Linked DNA regions of Struthio camelus. The protein of the gene in region 1 interacts with the protein of each later gene in a pairwise test. Links are inferred from orthologs where the notes say so. Each region holds a gene or a part of one and is shown on either strand. Other genes may lie near its edges. The genes, in order: HPGDS and ABHD17A.

Evidence for each region.
Region 2: the proteins of HPGDS (region 1) and ABHD17A interact in binary tests that used the Homo sapiens proteins (3 or more experiments, as listed by UniProt). The two-hybrid records come from large-scale screens. The link is inferred for Struthio camelus from reciprocal best matches to the Homo sapiens genes HPGDS and ABHD17A.

The regions. Positions count from the first base shown.
Region 1 is NC_090945.1:14,953,286-14,960,523, reverse strand, and holds the start of HPGDS (hematopoietic prostaglandin D synthase), read left to right. Parts: upstream 1-4,061; 5' UTR 4,062-4,076; coding exon 4,077-4,193; intron 4,194-7,238. UniProt on the Homo sapiens protein: Bifunctional enzyme which catalyzes both the conversion of PGH2 to PGD2, a prostaglandin involved in smooth muscle contraction/relaxation and a potent inhibitor of platelet aggregation, and the conjugation of glutathione with a wide range of aryl halides and organic isothiocyanates.
Region 2 is NC_090967.1:3,072,057-3,079,562, reverse strand, and holds the start of ABHD17A (alpha/beta hydrolase domain-containing protein 17A), read left to right. Parts: upstream 1-4,411; 5' UTR 4,412-4,556; intron 4,557-6,273; exon of another isoform or gene 6,274-6,594; intron 6,595-7,104; 5' UTR 7,105-7,304; coding exon 7,305-7,506. Other genes in the region: AN1-type zinc finger protein 5, read left to right, coding at 316-464. UniProt on the Homo sapiens protein: Hydrolyzes fatty acids from S-acylated cysteine residues in proteins. Has depalmitoylating activity towards NRAS. Has depalmitoylating activity towards DLG4/PSD95. May have depalmitoylating activity towards MAP6.

The DNA.
Region 1 (7,238 bases):
GGCATTTGGAATTAATGAGTAGTTACGGCTCTATTTAAATTCTGGATTGCAAAAACAGCTTCTGAGACAGAAGCCCACTATAGTTAGCACAAGTCCTTCAGTTTTCTTCTCTGGGCTTTGGATCCTTCATATACAAACACCTGCACCCGTGAACATTTCTACTCCTCATGAATAAAACCAAGGGACTATTTCCCAACACAGGCAACTGTGTCTAATGGTTTGCTTTTTATTGCTCTTGCTCCCCACGTAGCAGTTTGAGGAAGAATCTTTCAGTTGTTGCTTTTTACTGTTCTTAGCAAAAAGGCACCCTGCTGCCAGGAGCACACAAATAAAGTTATCACGTAAAACCCAAAATGAGCAGCCTTCCTTTAGTCGACTACTTCTCTAAGCTGCCGAGTTCTGAAAGCCTATCTCCGACTTGATTGATCATTAAATGCTGCCTTTTACTAAAGCTATAGTAAAGCTGGAATCATGTTTGACTAAGAAGGTATAATTTCTTTCAAAGGTGTTCATGACCCTTTGATATCCTTTTTACAAAAAAAAAAAAAATCCTAAGTAAAGCAATGCATATGCATGGAGAAAGCAAGCTGAAAATTTTTGAACATGCTTCTATTAACACAATGATGCTTTTAAAGTTCAATCACCTTTTTCTGACTGTTATTTTTCAAATTAGAAAAAAAAAACCCTACAAACATTCACTCAAAAGGAAAACTGTAAACATTTCAACTTTTTCAAAACTAAGCAACTGATATTTCAAGACATTTTCTTCTTTGAGCAAAACTCTTTGTAAATTTAGGTTGCAGTTGCCAAACATCAGGTCTATTTAAAAGTGAATTGCTCTGGCTGAATTTACTGTTCGCTAAAAGAATGCGAAGTGCTGAACCCTACTGCACATAAAAGGCTGAGTGGTCTTAGGACATTGCGGCATTGACAGGTTTCTAAATACAGGCCTAATATGCCTCATGATGGGGCTTACAAGCTATGTAAGGTGGTATTATTCATTTCCTAAAATCATTTTCTACAGACTCGCTTAAGAAAATTAAAAGAATATTTAGTAATAACAGCAAAACACCATAATTGGAGAAAAAAGGAAGGGGGGGGGGGCACGGAAATTGCTAAGAACACGAGCGCTATTTCCAAATTTTTAGCGAAACTTTTGGCTTGAATGGTGTTATTCTCCTGGACAGGCAAGTGGAAATGTAGAGGCATTAACTGGAAGTTACCACTCTCAGTAAGATGGTCATGTCTTGCCCATTGTAGTCTGCTCACTGTAAATGCCTGGCTGGGAATTTCCTCCAGGGAGAGGAGAGCCTGCAGCATGGTCACGGATTTACTCCCGTTTCAGCTCGGGGGGGGGAGGGGGGCGGAAGCTGGACCCTCACTGTTCCCAAAATGAGCCATCAGAAACCACTTCCGCTGCAGATGTTTCTGCCGACACGTTGATTCACCTCAACTGGGCCACTGACAGCATCAAGCAAGCTGTCTCATGGTAGAGACTTGCACCACTGGCAAAACCATGAAATGCTGTGTCTTACTTCAGTGTTATGCTTAACTATCAACATTGGGACAAAGTAGAGCAGTGACAGAGAGGAGAGGTGGGGAGGGACTGGCAGTGACTCAAAAGGCAGAAGAATGACCAGCAATACTGATGGACTCGCAGAGAAACAGATCTGTGCCACGATTTTCTGACCCAACAATAGCCCACGAATGCTCCAAAAGGGACATCTGTTGAACTAAACCTTGGACTTAGTTTCAATCCATGTGGCTTCCTCTGGATTTATCTAGGGCTTTCAAATAGAGTGGAGAGCCTCAGCACCGACCAAGAAAAAGTGTCAGCTTCAGCCAGTTGCAACTTCACTGCCAGAAACCCAGATGCTGCTCTAAGACCACGGGGCAAAGTGTTGAAAAGCCGAGCAGCAGCAGCATGTGACAACAGACTCTCCTACGAAAACGCCTCTGCTACAGTCTGATCTGAAGGTGTCTGATCCAAACGGACGTCTCTCCTCCCAGATTTGATACGTAATTCTTTTCCTAGACCACAGTCTCAATTAGCAATGTCCTCACAGCTTCTAAAGCTTTTTGGGGTTGGACACAAGCAAAAGGTACTTTAGATGAAGCGTCTCTTGCAACAAGTTGTGATAAACAGTCGCAGCTTGACTGCATAGGAGTGGGCAGTCCAGCAACTTTTTCATGCGATCAATAGCCGTTGCAGGCTGGATGGGTAAAATAAATAGAGGGCTTACTCTGTAAGAAATCATTATCAGAGGAAGCCAAGGTTAAATCGGTTCAGTGCATTATTAACTTCGTTATTCTCAACTTATGGACACAAATCACTTCTGGCTTTAGGAAGCCCAGGAATTCATTTGATCATTTGGATGAGACTTGGGCAGAATCTGGCAGAAAGCAAGAATTATTTTTGCTTCTAGAGAATAAGCCTACCACCTGATCCTGTAAAGAGCTTTACTCGGCTGAGGAGCAGGTACTCCTGAAAAACACCCTTTGTACATTTAGCTTTTTAATACGTTTGGCTTTTATAATCACACTGCGCTAGGCTGTCAGGCTTTCAGAGCAGCACCGAAGGGAGAGAATTACGCATGCCCACAGGATGCAGCCCTGAGCACGACTTCCCCTGAACGTGGACCAGCTACCGATTTGCAAACGTGAAGTTAAAGACTTGGTCCTACCACAGCTTTGCCATAGACTTTTAAGAGGCCCTGATTTCCTCCTGCATCGGCATTGAAGATTTCCCACAGGTAAAGTGAAAACGAGCTTTTTGCTACCTTATAAATCACGAGAGGAAAGATTCTGGTGCAAGGAAGCGCTTGTGCTTTATACCAGCTAAACGATGACAACTCTCACGGTGAGGTACGGGTTTAACTCATTAACTAACTTGCATTAAAAGTAAAAGCTAACTCCCCAATTCTTACTAATGCTTTACTGAGCAGCGTCATTGGCAATCCAGCCAAGATAGGAACAAACTGTTGCCAACTGAAAACAATTCCTGGAGAATACTCCGTTTTTTTTTTTTTTAAGTGATAACACCCCCCCCCCCGTTTTATACTGGAGAAAAGCAATGTTAATGCATAAATCTAGACGACAAAGTCAAGGGCTCCAAAAGCAAGGAAGTATCACCACTGAGGCGCCCCTGGGCACTTTGGCTCTTAAGTCAGGTTATACCAGTACTGATCAGACGATGCTGGCTTTTTTGTAAACTTTCTCTTGGCTGTTAAGGGTGTTGGTAGTCGAAGACTCAGCTGCTGACACCAGGGAAACGCATTTACTGCATGGAAATGAGTTGTTTTGAGGCAAATGATTAATGCTGCAAGCTACAGGAATCTGACCGCTCCTCCACGCGGGGGAGAGCGCTCGGGTCAGGCCTGCTCTCCGCACCTGCAAAGAGCACTGGCAAACATCTATTACAAAAAGTGAATGAGGCTTCAAAACGAAGTCGTGCGGTATGGCACACATGCATTCGGTCACGTACGAACAGGAAATCAAAGCACAACAATACCGAACGGACTTTGTTAAGGTCAAGGCACCAATAAGTTGCAACACCAGCAACCCCCCTTCCTCCACAAATCCATACTTTGTGCTTTACGACAAAGGTATAGATACGATACTTTATTTGTTTGCCTTTTTTTTTCCCCCGGCTCCCTTGCTTTAATGAGATCGCAGCTATTTAACGCATTGTTCCATAATTAGATCAGATACTGGAGGGCTTCATGTCATTTACAGATAATTGAAGACAGCAGTTTCTTGGCCTGCTCCTGCACACAAGTTGCCGGGGCGGGGGGGGAAGAAGGGGGGGGGGAACGGGACCAAAAAACAAACAAACAAAAACACACCCGACATCTGGCTCAGCTCCCTGGTGCCTGATCATTGAAGTGTCTACTACTTTTTTTTTGTTTTTTTTTTTGGTTAAATACAGCACTTTAAATATTTCTTGTCCTTGAGTGCAAGCTGAAAAATTCCCAGTGCCAAGTCTGGTATCGCGGTCCGAGAAAAGACACAAAGCTTGCACGTTATCTGAGGAAACGACACGTTTGCTGTGTGTGTACTCCTGAGAGTGAGTCACGATGGGGAGTGGTTTGCATATTAATAAACAGTACAGATATAAATGTAAGCCTTTCGCACTGAGCCCAGCACTGGGGCTCCTGTGCGCCGAGGAAGGGAGCGCGTTTCGCTGCACCAGAGTGAGTTCCTTTTAAGCTTTGCTGCCTACAAAGCGTCCAGCTTCTTCTCTCTTTCCCCTTTCCTGCTCTTCCCACCTTGTTCCGCCCTCCTCGGGGATACCGTTATGCTAGCTGCGCGGGGTTTGTTTGCGTCAAATGATGCGACGCTTAACGGCGAGGACCGCGCGCGTTTCGGTTCCTACGGTGCGTGTTAAGCTGACCGGGCGCAGAAGTCCCCGACTCGCGCTGCTGGCAGAGCGAGCTCCGTAGGCGCGCTGCCCGCCTAACTCGAGGTGTACCCATCGGTACACCTCCTCTGCCACTCACAGGCATCTCTGAAGTCCCCGCCGCGCGTAAGGCCCCCGCACTGCCGCAAGGAGACCTCAGAAACCACAGACTACTTTTCCAGGGGCAAAAAGGCAGACTGCTAGCCTGTCGATGCCGCAAGCCCCCGCTTCTCAACCAGTCTCCGATGCTCTCGGTATTGACCCACTCCGATAATCAGGATACCCGACAGAGAAACACGGTGCAAGGAAAAGACAACCCAAGCGGGCGTAGCAACGATGCGGGAAAGCTGCTGGCGTTCCCCAACGCACGCTTCTCAGTGAGTGAAAAACCACCTTGAAGCAGTACTCTGTTAGAAAAGCTGACTCGCATACAGTCACTTAACGCAACCAAACCAAATCTAGGTTAATGCCAGGACTTAGATGAATATTAAGCAGCGCTAACCAATTCCTGCGCATCACTTTTACATCCTACTCTAGCCCTTTTCTGAATTCTTGTTAATCTGCTGCTGACCAGAAGACAATACCCTCATCCTAATTCTCACCATTATTTTACAGAAGAAATCTTGCGGCATCTGCTTTCATTTGCTGCTTTTTCTCCCCTTTTTCAAAGGGGACAATACTTTTTTTGCTGAGGTGTTCTGGTTTTTATTTCAAAATGATCCTCTAAATCTGTTCAGTATTTTTTTCCCCCTCTTTAATTCTAACTGCCTGCATTTGCCTGTGTGCATAATCTTCTTGCACACATTTTCTCCCGTAAAAGTCATCCTTCTTTCTTTACTGCTCATTTCAAACTATTCAAACAAAGCTTAGCTGTGAAGTATTTTTCCCGGACTTGTATGCGTCTAACAACTGTGTGGGACCACTGGTACTCTTACACTCAAAAGTTGCTGCAGCTTTTGCCAAACAAGAAGATTTAGACATAGAGGTCTTTCAGAAATTTACTTCTGGTTACTCTTTTGTTTTCCTTAACCCAAAACAGAATCCACCTCCCCTAAGGATACAGGCACACCGGGAATAAGCCCCCACCACAGACGCGCGTGCACACAGACACACACTCATATCAATTTTGACAGAAATGGGACTGAAGCGCTTCAAATTCTAAACAGCAAATGCACACAAAATGGTTCTTTGAATTAGTTTAATTCTTATTACCAAAAACAAAGCCACTCATCCCGGTGATTCAGTGATTACTGCATTTACAGTATATGCTATAAAATGCAGCTCTGTCTCAATTGCATAGCAGCAGAGCTATGCATATTCAAAAACTTACATATGCTATCATGTAATTTCGAGAAAAATCTGTCTTCCAGACCTCACTCAGGGTGACGATTTAATCTATTGACAGCTGTGGAAGAGGGGATTCCCATTTTTGTCATGTCAACGCACATGCAGTTAAAGCAAGCAGCCACTGTTCCTGCCTTCCCCAAAACATACTTGCTTTGTGGCAATTACCTATGTTCGGTTTGGGGCACCTGCAAACAGGTGGTAGCCAGCTCTCTGCTGCAGAGCCACCAACAAACCTACCAGCTCTGCTGCTATATGGGTTTGACCTTTAGACTTCTAGACCTATGTTCCAGGGTCTTCAGTACTGCCACAGATAGGATCACGGCAGGAACAGTCTCACGGTATATTGTGGCAGAACGTGCCATTCCTATATGCAGTCGTCGTCTTACTTTTCTTCACAATTTTACCAGTCCATCCTTTGTTAATGTTAGGACAATGGACTTAAGACCTATTGCTACTCTTCAGGTCTTCTGCCTAAAAGCCTAGCTTGGACAGAGGGTAAGCCTTACAGCTTGTATGATCTACTCAGAAAATAGTTCACCAGGTCTTTATTATATGAAGAGTTTTCTTGGTTTTGCCATGTGCAACCTTCTACTAAGCAGTTAGAAAGCAGAAATAGTTGAAGACGGTGCACACTTTCAAAATACCTTTTACCAAAATCTCAGTGGTGAGTAATACCACTATAAAAGCCGCTGACATACTGTTGGAGTTGAGTTAGCAAACGGCATGACATTCCACTAAAAGCTACGTTTATTCACACCAGCTGAAAATTTATCATATATACTGCATAGAATATTTCAGACGGCAATATTTTCACTCTTTTACCAGGTAGTCCAAGAGGAAAAAAAAAAAACAAACCAACCAACCAAACTTGCCAAATGCCAGATAACCCATCCAACTGTAAACCAACATTATTTTAAAAAACCTCACTTATCTGGAGTCAGTCTGCTAAGACTCCCATAAAAAAACCTACTACAATGGACTGAGAAAATTAAATACTCCATTTTGCCCCTTTTCAGAGGGGACTAAATACATGCCCTTGAAGAAATGACTCTGTAAAGCACAAGCATGAAAGGGAATAGGAGAAAAGCAGTCAGCTAAATCAGACTGTGAGACTCAGCTCTGGATTTGGGTAACAGAAATGGCAAAGGGATCTTTTGATACCCGCTACATATTCTGTACCGGGAGGTACTCATGGTGGGGGGCACGTGGGAGTTACAGCCTTCCAGCCTGCCTCAGCTCCCTCCTGCCCACCAACAAGTAACACTGCCATCCTGCAAATCCAGTCTCATACTGGGCTGAGTTTGAGCAGAAGGAGAAAAGATAAAGGTATACAGAAATTATGACTCGAATGACCTCGCAGTCTCTCTTTAGTTGATATTTGCCAACAGGAAAAAGCTTTTAAATACCTGACACCAAAGTCTGTAACAGCACACTTCAGGTAAATGAGTATTTTGTGTTTGGGTACTTTGGGGCAGACTGGAGAACGCATAAT
Region 2 (7,506 bases), on another chromosome or scaffold:
GAGAACAACTGCTCTCGAGAGCTTTGCCCGTTGCTATGACAGCTGGGCCTGCCCCAGAGAACACGTGCACTCATGACAGTTTTCCTGAGAGCAGCTAAGCCAGAGGAAACCTAAGAGCTACCTAAAATCTTCCCCCGCACTCAAAGACTCACTTTCACCCATCCCAGCCAGCAGCCCCTCTTATTAGTCTGACCTTCTCTTTCTGCTTTAGTGGGGTTTCATGGCCTAGCAGGGAACAGTCCGGGCTCTGCTGCCTTTTCATCTGGCTGGACAGTGATTAACATGGCTTTCTCTCTTTGCCGTTCCTCCCTTCAGGGTTTGACTGCCGCTGTGGGAACCTGTTCTGTGCCATTCACCGGTACTCAGACATGCACGCCTGCCCGTACGACTATAAGGCAGAAGCAGCTGAGAAAATCCGTAAGGAGAACCCCATCATCATAGCTGAGAAGATCCAAAAGTTGTGAAGGAAGCTGAGCAGCTAGAACTACAGCCACCTGGCCTGGTGCTCCTCCCCTTCCTCCCAGCCCTCCTCTTCCTCCCAACCCCATCAGTGGCATGATGGGGCCTCCAGCAGCAGACGTGAATCTACACCGAGATGTGGAGAGTTCTCGCACCTTTTTGGCAGAGATCTGGGATTCCTTCTCTCCCTTCCTGTCTGTCCTAAAGCCGCTGCTCAATTGATCCATTTTTGACCAACTTCCAAAAGGAAAAGGGATCGTCCCTGCTCCACCCACCGCCAGTGCTAAGACCTTTGGACTTGTCTTCCGCCAGGGTGGTTTGCACGGCGCGGGCAGCAGGGTTCCCCCAGGCAGCCTTTCCGTTCGACCTGCAGCTCTGAGTTCTGCAAACCTCCCAGGACTAGCCGCTAGTGTCCGTGAGCTGTCTCCATACTTTGTTCCCTCTGCTCCATTGTCTGTTCGTGGCAGATGTAGAAGCGGGAGCTGAGGAATCCCAGCGGCAAGTCTACCCTCTGCTCTGCCTGATCTCAGATGCGGGAAAGAGGATTCGGTAGTTTTAACACCCCAAATACCCCTCCCTTCCCTTCGAGAAGCTGTTGAAGCAGTTGGATCATTAAGCAGCAGAGTACTGACAGAGTAAAGTTACTTTGTGGCTTGCGGCGACACAGACACCTCCAGCCACAAGTCAGGACTGTTAAGAAAGTACCACTCTGTGCCTCTTGCCTCTCACCGCTGGGAGGGAGCCAGCCTGTGGGGCTTGCTCCTTCCAAGGACTTGGCTGGCCTGAGGGACACCCTTGCACCAGCCTTCTGTGGGCTTCAAACGCTCCTCTCTCACCCCGTACATAACTGCTGGCCCCTTCCCAAGCGAGCCTGGATGTAGCACGGCTGCAGCCCGCGCTCTGACAGCCTGTTCTTTCCACTTAACTCTACCTTCTGCCTTATATGATTCTTTCTGATCAGGGTTGTGCACAAAGCTTAGACCATCAAACCTCTAACCTTTCCTGCACGCATGCAAGTCTCGGAGACCCGTTTCCTCCCCTGTAGGCTTTGCTGATATTCAGTGGGAGTCCTCCTTTCCTATGAGTGTATTTGCTCTGAAAGCTCGCTCAACCTTCTTGCCTTCTCATCTCGCTGCTTGTCCTTGTGGGGAGAGAGGCAGGGCCGGGTCCCCAGGGGACGTGGAAGTCACCATTGCTGCAATGAACTCCAGGGCGCTCCTAAAGCCAAGCAAAGGGATCTGGGGTGCATGGAAAGGCACATGGAGGGTCCTGGGAAACACCGAAAGCCACATGAAGGGCTCGGGGGCATGCAGAGAGCCACACGGAGGTCTCTGGAGCACCCCAAAAGGCACATGGATTACTCTGGGGCACTCCAGAAGCCAAATGGAGATCCCTAGTGCATCCTGAAAGACATTTGGAGGGCTCTGGGGTGCAAGGAAAGGCACATGGAAGGCTCCAGGGCTGTCCAAAAGGAAAACAGAGGACCCTGGTACTCCCTGAAAGGCACACAGAGGCTCCTGGGGCGCACTGAAAGCCAAACAGGGGTCTCTGAGGTCCTCAGAAAGGCACCTGGAGGGTCTGGGGTTCTTTTGTCTCGTTCCCAACCCTAACTTTAGCTTCTGGTCATGGGCCGAGCCTTGGAGAAGACCCTGATCACCAGCCCAGTTGGAAGAACAGCATGGGAGAAACCGTTTTGCAGCCTCGCTCTTCTTTTAGGGGCCCTTTTGCAGCCTCACCCCAGGGGGAGCTCTGGGCTTCATGTTTCACCTAACCCTTGACATCGGCCTCGGCTGAGCCTCAGCCGCGGCCCCAGGGGAAAAAGGTCTCTGGGAGAAATCTTTTGGCAGGGTTTGGGTCTCCCCCTCCGCTGCCCCCAGAGGCTGCATCAGCCGCGGCTTTTCCTGAAGGACTTTTTTCCAGGCTCTTCTTCCCGGGCCGCTGCAAAGCTGAGAGCCAGGCCGGCGAGGCTGCGATGGCTCCGTCTCACAAGCAAAGAAATCCAGATGGGTCCCAGGAGAAAACATCAGCCTCTGCCCCGCTTTTAACCATCCCATGTGTTTTGAGCGTTTCCTTCAATATCAACTCGTATCCCAGCTGCAGAGAGCTGTTAAGCGCACCAGGCCAAACCATCAGCTGGTGGAGATCAGTGCAAAAATGCACCGTGGAGCTGGCAGGGCTGCAGCCAGGGGCTGTCTGCCTTTTCGGTGGGGGATGAAAGCCTGGGGGCTGCCCAGCACCCATGGCTTAGCAGCTCCAGAATTTGGGATCTCCTCTGCGGTGCGGTGGGGCGAACAAGCGACGTTGGCTTGGCCTGCTTGCCGTGCTGTCGGCGCATTAGCCCAGGCAAGTGGGGGCTCAGTTGGGTTTTGAGCTGGAGCAGTGGAAAACGAGCTTTGAACGCTCTCCCAGTTCACTCTTGCCTTAGGCTCTGCAGAAACCCCCCTTGATTTACATCGATGGATTTGGCTTTTTGGGAGAGTGCCCCTGAGCCCTTTCAGCACCACGGGGACAGGCTGCCCAGGCGGGGCCAGGAGAAATTGTAAGAACCCCTGTGTTACTGTTCGCACAAAGTTTGCAGACTCGGGAGGGACGGGGAAGCAGCCTGCTGCCGCACATGGAGCAGGAGAGCCCGGATGCGAAAAGGCAGCCGGCTGCTCCTCCACCACCTCCCTTTCTCTTTTATTTTTCTGAGTATGAAACCAGATCTGTAAATATTAATATATTCTAGTTTGCTTGGATGCTGTGGATGGTTCTTTATGCGCACAGCCGATTCCTGAGCTGGCGTTGGCGCTCAGAGCACAGATGAATGGGTATTTCTGCCCTCGAAATGCCCCTCTCGTCCCTCGCTGCAATCGCTCCCGGTTCCCTCTGCAAACTGCAAAGCCCCGCTCCCACCCTGTGCTGCCGGGCAAACCCAGGTGTCCCAGCTGCACCTTGCTTTGGCCAAGGCATGCTCTGTGCCTCAGTTTCCCCATGGCTAATAGGGGAGGCTTGGTGGTGAGCTGGTCTGGAGAAGGGCTTGTCCCCTGCGTCCCGCAGGGTACCCGTGCTGCAGCCCCCGGCACACAGCCTCCTCAAGCAAGGGTGACTGCTGCAGGGAAGCAACCGTGCAGCCTTGGGCACATGCCAGCCCTGCAGGGAGGAACACCGCAGCCCTGCAGCATGCAAGGGGGGAGGGGTGCAGCATGCCCTCCCTGTGAGCTGGGCGGGGGGGGGTGCATCACAGCCCCCTGACACCATGCACAGCCTGTAAGGGAGGGGGAAAGGATCCCTGGGAGCATGCAGGGCCTGCAAGGGTGGGGGGGGGGTGCATTGCAGCTCCGGAGCATGCAGGGCCTGCAAGGCAGGGACACTGCTGCCCTGGGAGCACGCAGGGCCGGCGTGCAGGGGAACAGCAGCACTGCAGCCTCGGAGCATGCAGGATCGGGAGGGAGGGTGCATTGCAGCCCCAGGAGCATGCAAGAAGGGGGCGAGGGTGCATTGCAGCCCCTGGAGCATGCAGGACAGGGCAGGGAGGGTGCTTTGCAGCCTCGGAGCGTGCAGGACGGGGTCGGGGGGAAGGTGCATTGCAGCCCTGGGAGCATGCAGGATGGGGCGGGGAGGGTGCATTGCAGCCCCGGGGAGCATGCAGGATGGGGGGGGGGAGGGTGCATTGCAGCCCCAGGAGCACGCAGGACGGGGCAGGGAGGGCGCTTTGCAGCCTCGGAGCGTGCAGGACGCGGGGAAGGTGCATTGCAGCCCCGGGAGCGTGCAGGACGGGGGCGAGGGTGCACCGCAGCCCCGCGGCGTGCCCAGCGCCGAGCGGCTGCACAGCCGCCCCCGGCCGCGCGCAGGGCCGGGAGCCGGGGCGGGGCGGGGCGCGCGGGGCGGGGCGGGGCCTGGGCGGGGGCGTCACTTCCCGCGCCGCGCGGGGCGGGGCCGGGGCGGGGCGCGCAGTAGCAGCGCCGCCGCCGCCGCCATGCAGGGCCGCCCCCGGCTCGGCGGCCCGCAGCGGCCGCCCGCCCCGCAGCGATCCCCGAGCGGGGGCCGAGCCCGGCCCGGCCGGCGCCGAGCGCAGCCCCCAGCTCGCACCGCCGCCACAGCAGCAGCATGTCCAGGTAATGGAGGGGGCCTGGGCACGCAGGTGCCGGGGGGCTGGGGGGAGCGGTGCGTGTTTGTATGGGGGGCCTGCAGCCAGGCTCTGCGTGTGGGGCTGGGTCGGTGGGGGGGGGGGCTGGGCACCCCCACCGGTGGGGTGTGTGGGGCTGGGGACGGTGTGGGGAGGGGGGCTGGACAACCCCCACCGGTGGGGCTTGTGGGGCTGGGGACAGTGTGGGGAGGGGGGCTGGACAACCCCACCGGTGGGGCTTGTGGGGCTGGGGACGGTGTGGGGAGGGGGGCTGGACAACCCCCACCGGTGGGGCTTGTGGGGCTGGGGACAGTGTGGGGAGGGGGGCTGGACAACCCCACCGGTGGGACTTGTGGGGCTGAGGACGGTGTGGGGAGGGGGGCTGGACAACCCCACCGGTGGGACTTGTGGGGCTGGGGACGGTGTGGGGAGGGGGGCTGGACAGCCCTCGTCTGTGGGGCTTATGGGGCTGGGGACTGTGGGGAGGGGGGCTGGACACCCCCATCGTCGGGGCTTATGGGGCTGGGGACAGTGTGGGGAGGGGGTCTGGACAGCCCTCGTCTGTGGGGCTTGTGGGGCTTATGGGGCTGGGGACTGTGGGGAGGGGGGCTGGACAACCCCACCGGTGGGGCTTATGGGCCTGGGGACAGTGAAGGGGGGCTGGACAACCCCACCGGTGGGGCTTATGGGCCTGGGGACAGTGGGGGGGGGGGGCTGGACACCCCCATCGGTGGGGTGCTCGTGGGCTGGGAGGTCAGTGTGGTGCTCGGGTTAGTCTGTGGAGGTTGGGGAGGCGCCTGGACCCGGACCCAGACCTGGACTCACGTTCTGGGCCTGGGGTTAGTGCGTGAGGGGGCCTGGATGCCCCCATCACTGGGATGCGTGGGGCTGGGGAGGGGGTCTTTATGGGGTGGGTTTGTGTGTGTGTGGGTCTGGCTCAGTGTGTGAGGGGGTCTGGACACCCCCATCAGTGAGGTATGTGGGGCTGGGGTCTGTATGTGTGTGTATGGACACACGCAATGGGGTGAGTGTGTATGTGGGTCTGGACGTGCAACCTGGTGTGCTGGTGGGTCTGGGGTGTGGGGTCAGTGTGGGCCTGAAGGCAGAGGACTCGGCCCCGCGGGTGGCCCGAGCGCCCGGAGGTGCGTGCCAGCCCCAGTGGTGGGGGCTTCCTGTGTGGTGTGTGTCCCCAAAATGACACCGGGGCTCGGGATTTGCCAGGTGCATGTGTGACACACGGTGTGTGTGCTCTGCAGTGCTGCCTACAGCCATGTGTTTCTGCATGCCTGTACTGACACACCATACGTGTCCCTGCAGGCAGGTGTGTGACCTGCCTCGCAGCCGTTGCCTGTTGTGGGTACTGTAGTGCCCGCGGGTGTGTGGATGCGTGCATCCCCCTGCTCCACTGGCACTTTGGGGTGAGCAGCCGGTTATGCTAGGAGGATCCCAGAGCTGGCATGTCCAGGATGCCACCCTCGTGGCTCTGGGTCACATCGGCCACCGCGGATTCTCACTGGCCTGAAGGAGACCCGAATTCACCTCCAAAGAGGGGGGACTACGGCCATGCCGGGGCACGTGTGCGTGTCCAGGGGCGGGAGGGGAATCCATTTATTCTGGAGAGAAATATTTCCATGCATGCCTTCCCCTTCTGGCTGGATGGGCAGGCCTCTCTCCCTCCACCCTTTCCTCTTCTTTCCCAGCCCTTCAGAAGCAGATGGAGTGAATTCCTGGGGGTGTGGGCTGGTTTGACATTCCTCAACAGCGAGTCTGTGCCCGAACTTGCAGAAAATAGTTGCTTTTTTTTTCCCCCCTTCCCCCTCTCTTGCTTTTTTTGGGGGTTTGCATTCTAGCTGCGAGCATGTGGGCCAGCCTCTGCCGGCGTTTGTGGGGGGACGTCGGGGTGCCGTTTCCTTTGTAGCACCGACCACCTGGGAGTGTGCGTGCCTGCGAGAAGTCCTGCGCCCGCTGTCCTCGCTTCCCTGGCGTGGGCCTGCGTGAAGATGCTGCAAATCTCTGCGGGGGTTGCGGTGTGTGATTTGGGGGGGTGTGGGCGTGCGTGCCTGTGAAGTGTTGTACAGTGCTGGGGCTTGGTTTTCTGGATGGGGAGCATGTGGGTGTGCGTGTGTGGGCTCAGCGTGAGCGTGGGCTGTGTGGTTTTCGGTGGCGGGCGCACGCTGCGGGGAGGGAGCAGTGTGTCTGTTGGGGGAAGACGTTGTGCCCCTCTGCCTGGGAGGGAGATGTGCTATGCGTGTTGTGTGTGGCATAGGGTGAGGGTTGTGTGTGTGTTTGCCAGTGGAAGAAGCAACGAACCATCCAAGTTTGAGGAGAGGAGATGTAACCTGCGTTGGGGACGGCCTGTGTTTGGGCAGGGGGTGTTTGTCCCTGCTCTCTGAGTGGGGCTGGGCTGTGCATCCCGCTTGTGGCATATGCTCTGATGTCACGCTTATCACATATGCTGTAATTGTGGTGCGTGCATGTGGTGAACTTTGGGGGGAGCCTCCCCCTCCCTCATTGTTTGTCTGACCTTCTGGTTGCAGGCCACCGCCGCTGTTGATGGACAGACGGACGGCAGCCGCCACAGTCCACAGGAGACTGCCGGCTGCCCTGTTCTGTTGGCAGCTGTGACGAGGGCAGGTGGAGGACAGAGGCTTTCCCAGGCCATCACTGGTCCCTGACTGTCTGATTTGGATCCTTGCTTGCTCCAGGCGCAGCTTGGTTTAGCGCTGAAGCCGCCGTCATGAACGGGCTGTCAGTCAGCCAGCTCTGCTGCCTCTTTTGCTGCCCGCCCTGCCCCAGTCGTATTGCGGCCAAACTGGCCTTCCTACCCCCGGAGCCCACGTACGCCATGGTCCCTGAGCCCGAGTCCGCGGGCAGCACCAGCACTGGCTCCCTGCGAGGAGGTGCTGTGGGACGCTGGAAGCTGCATTTGACGGACCGGG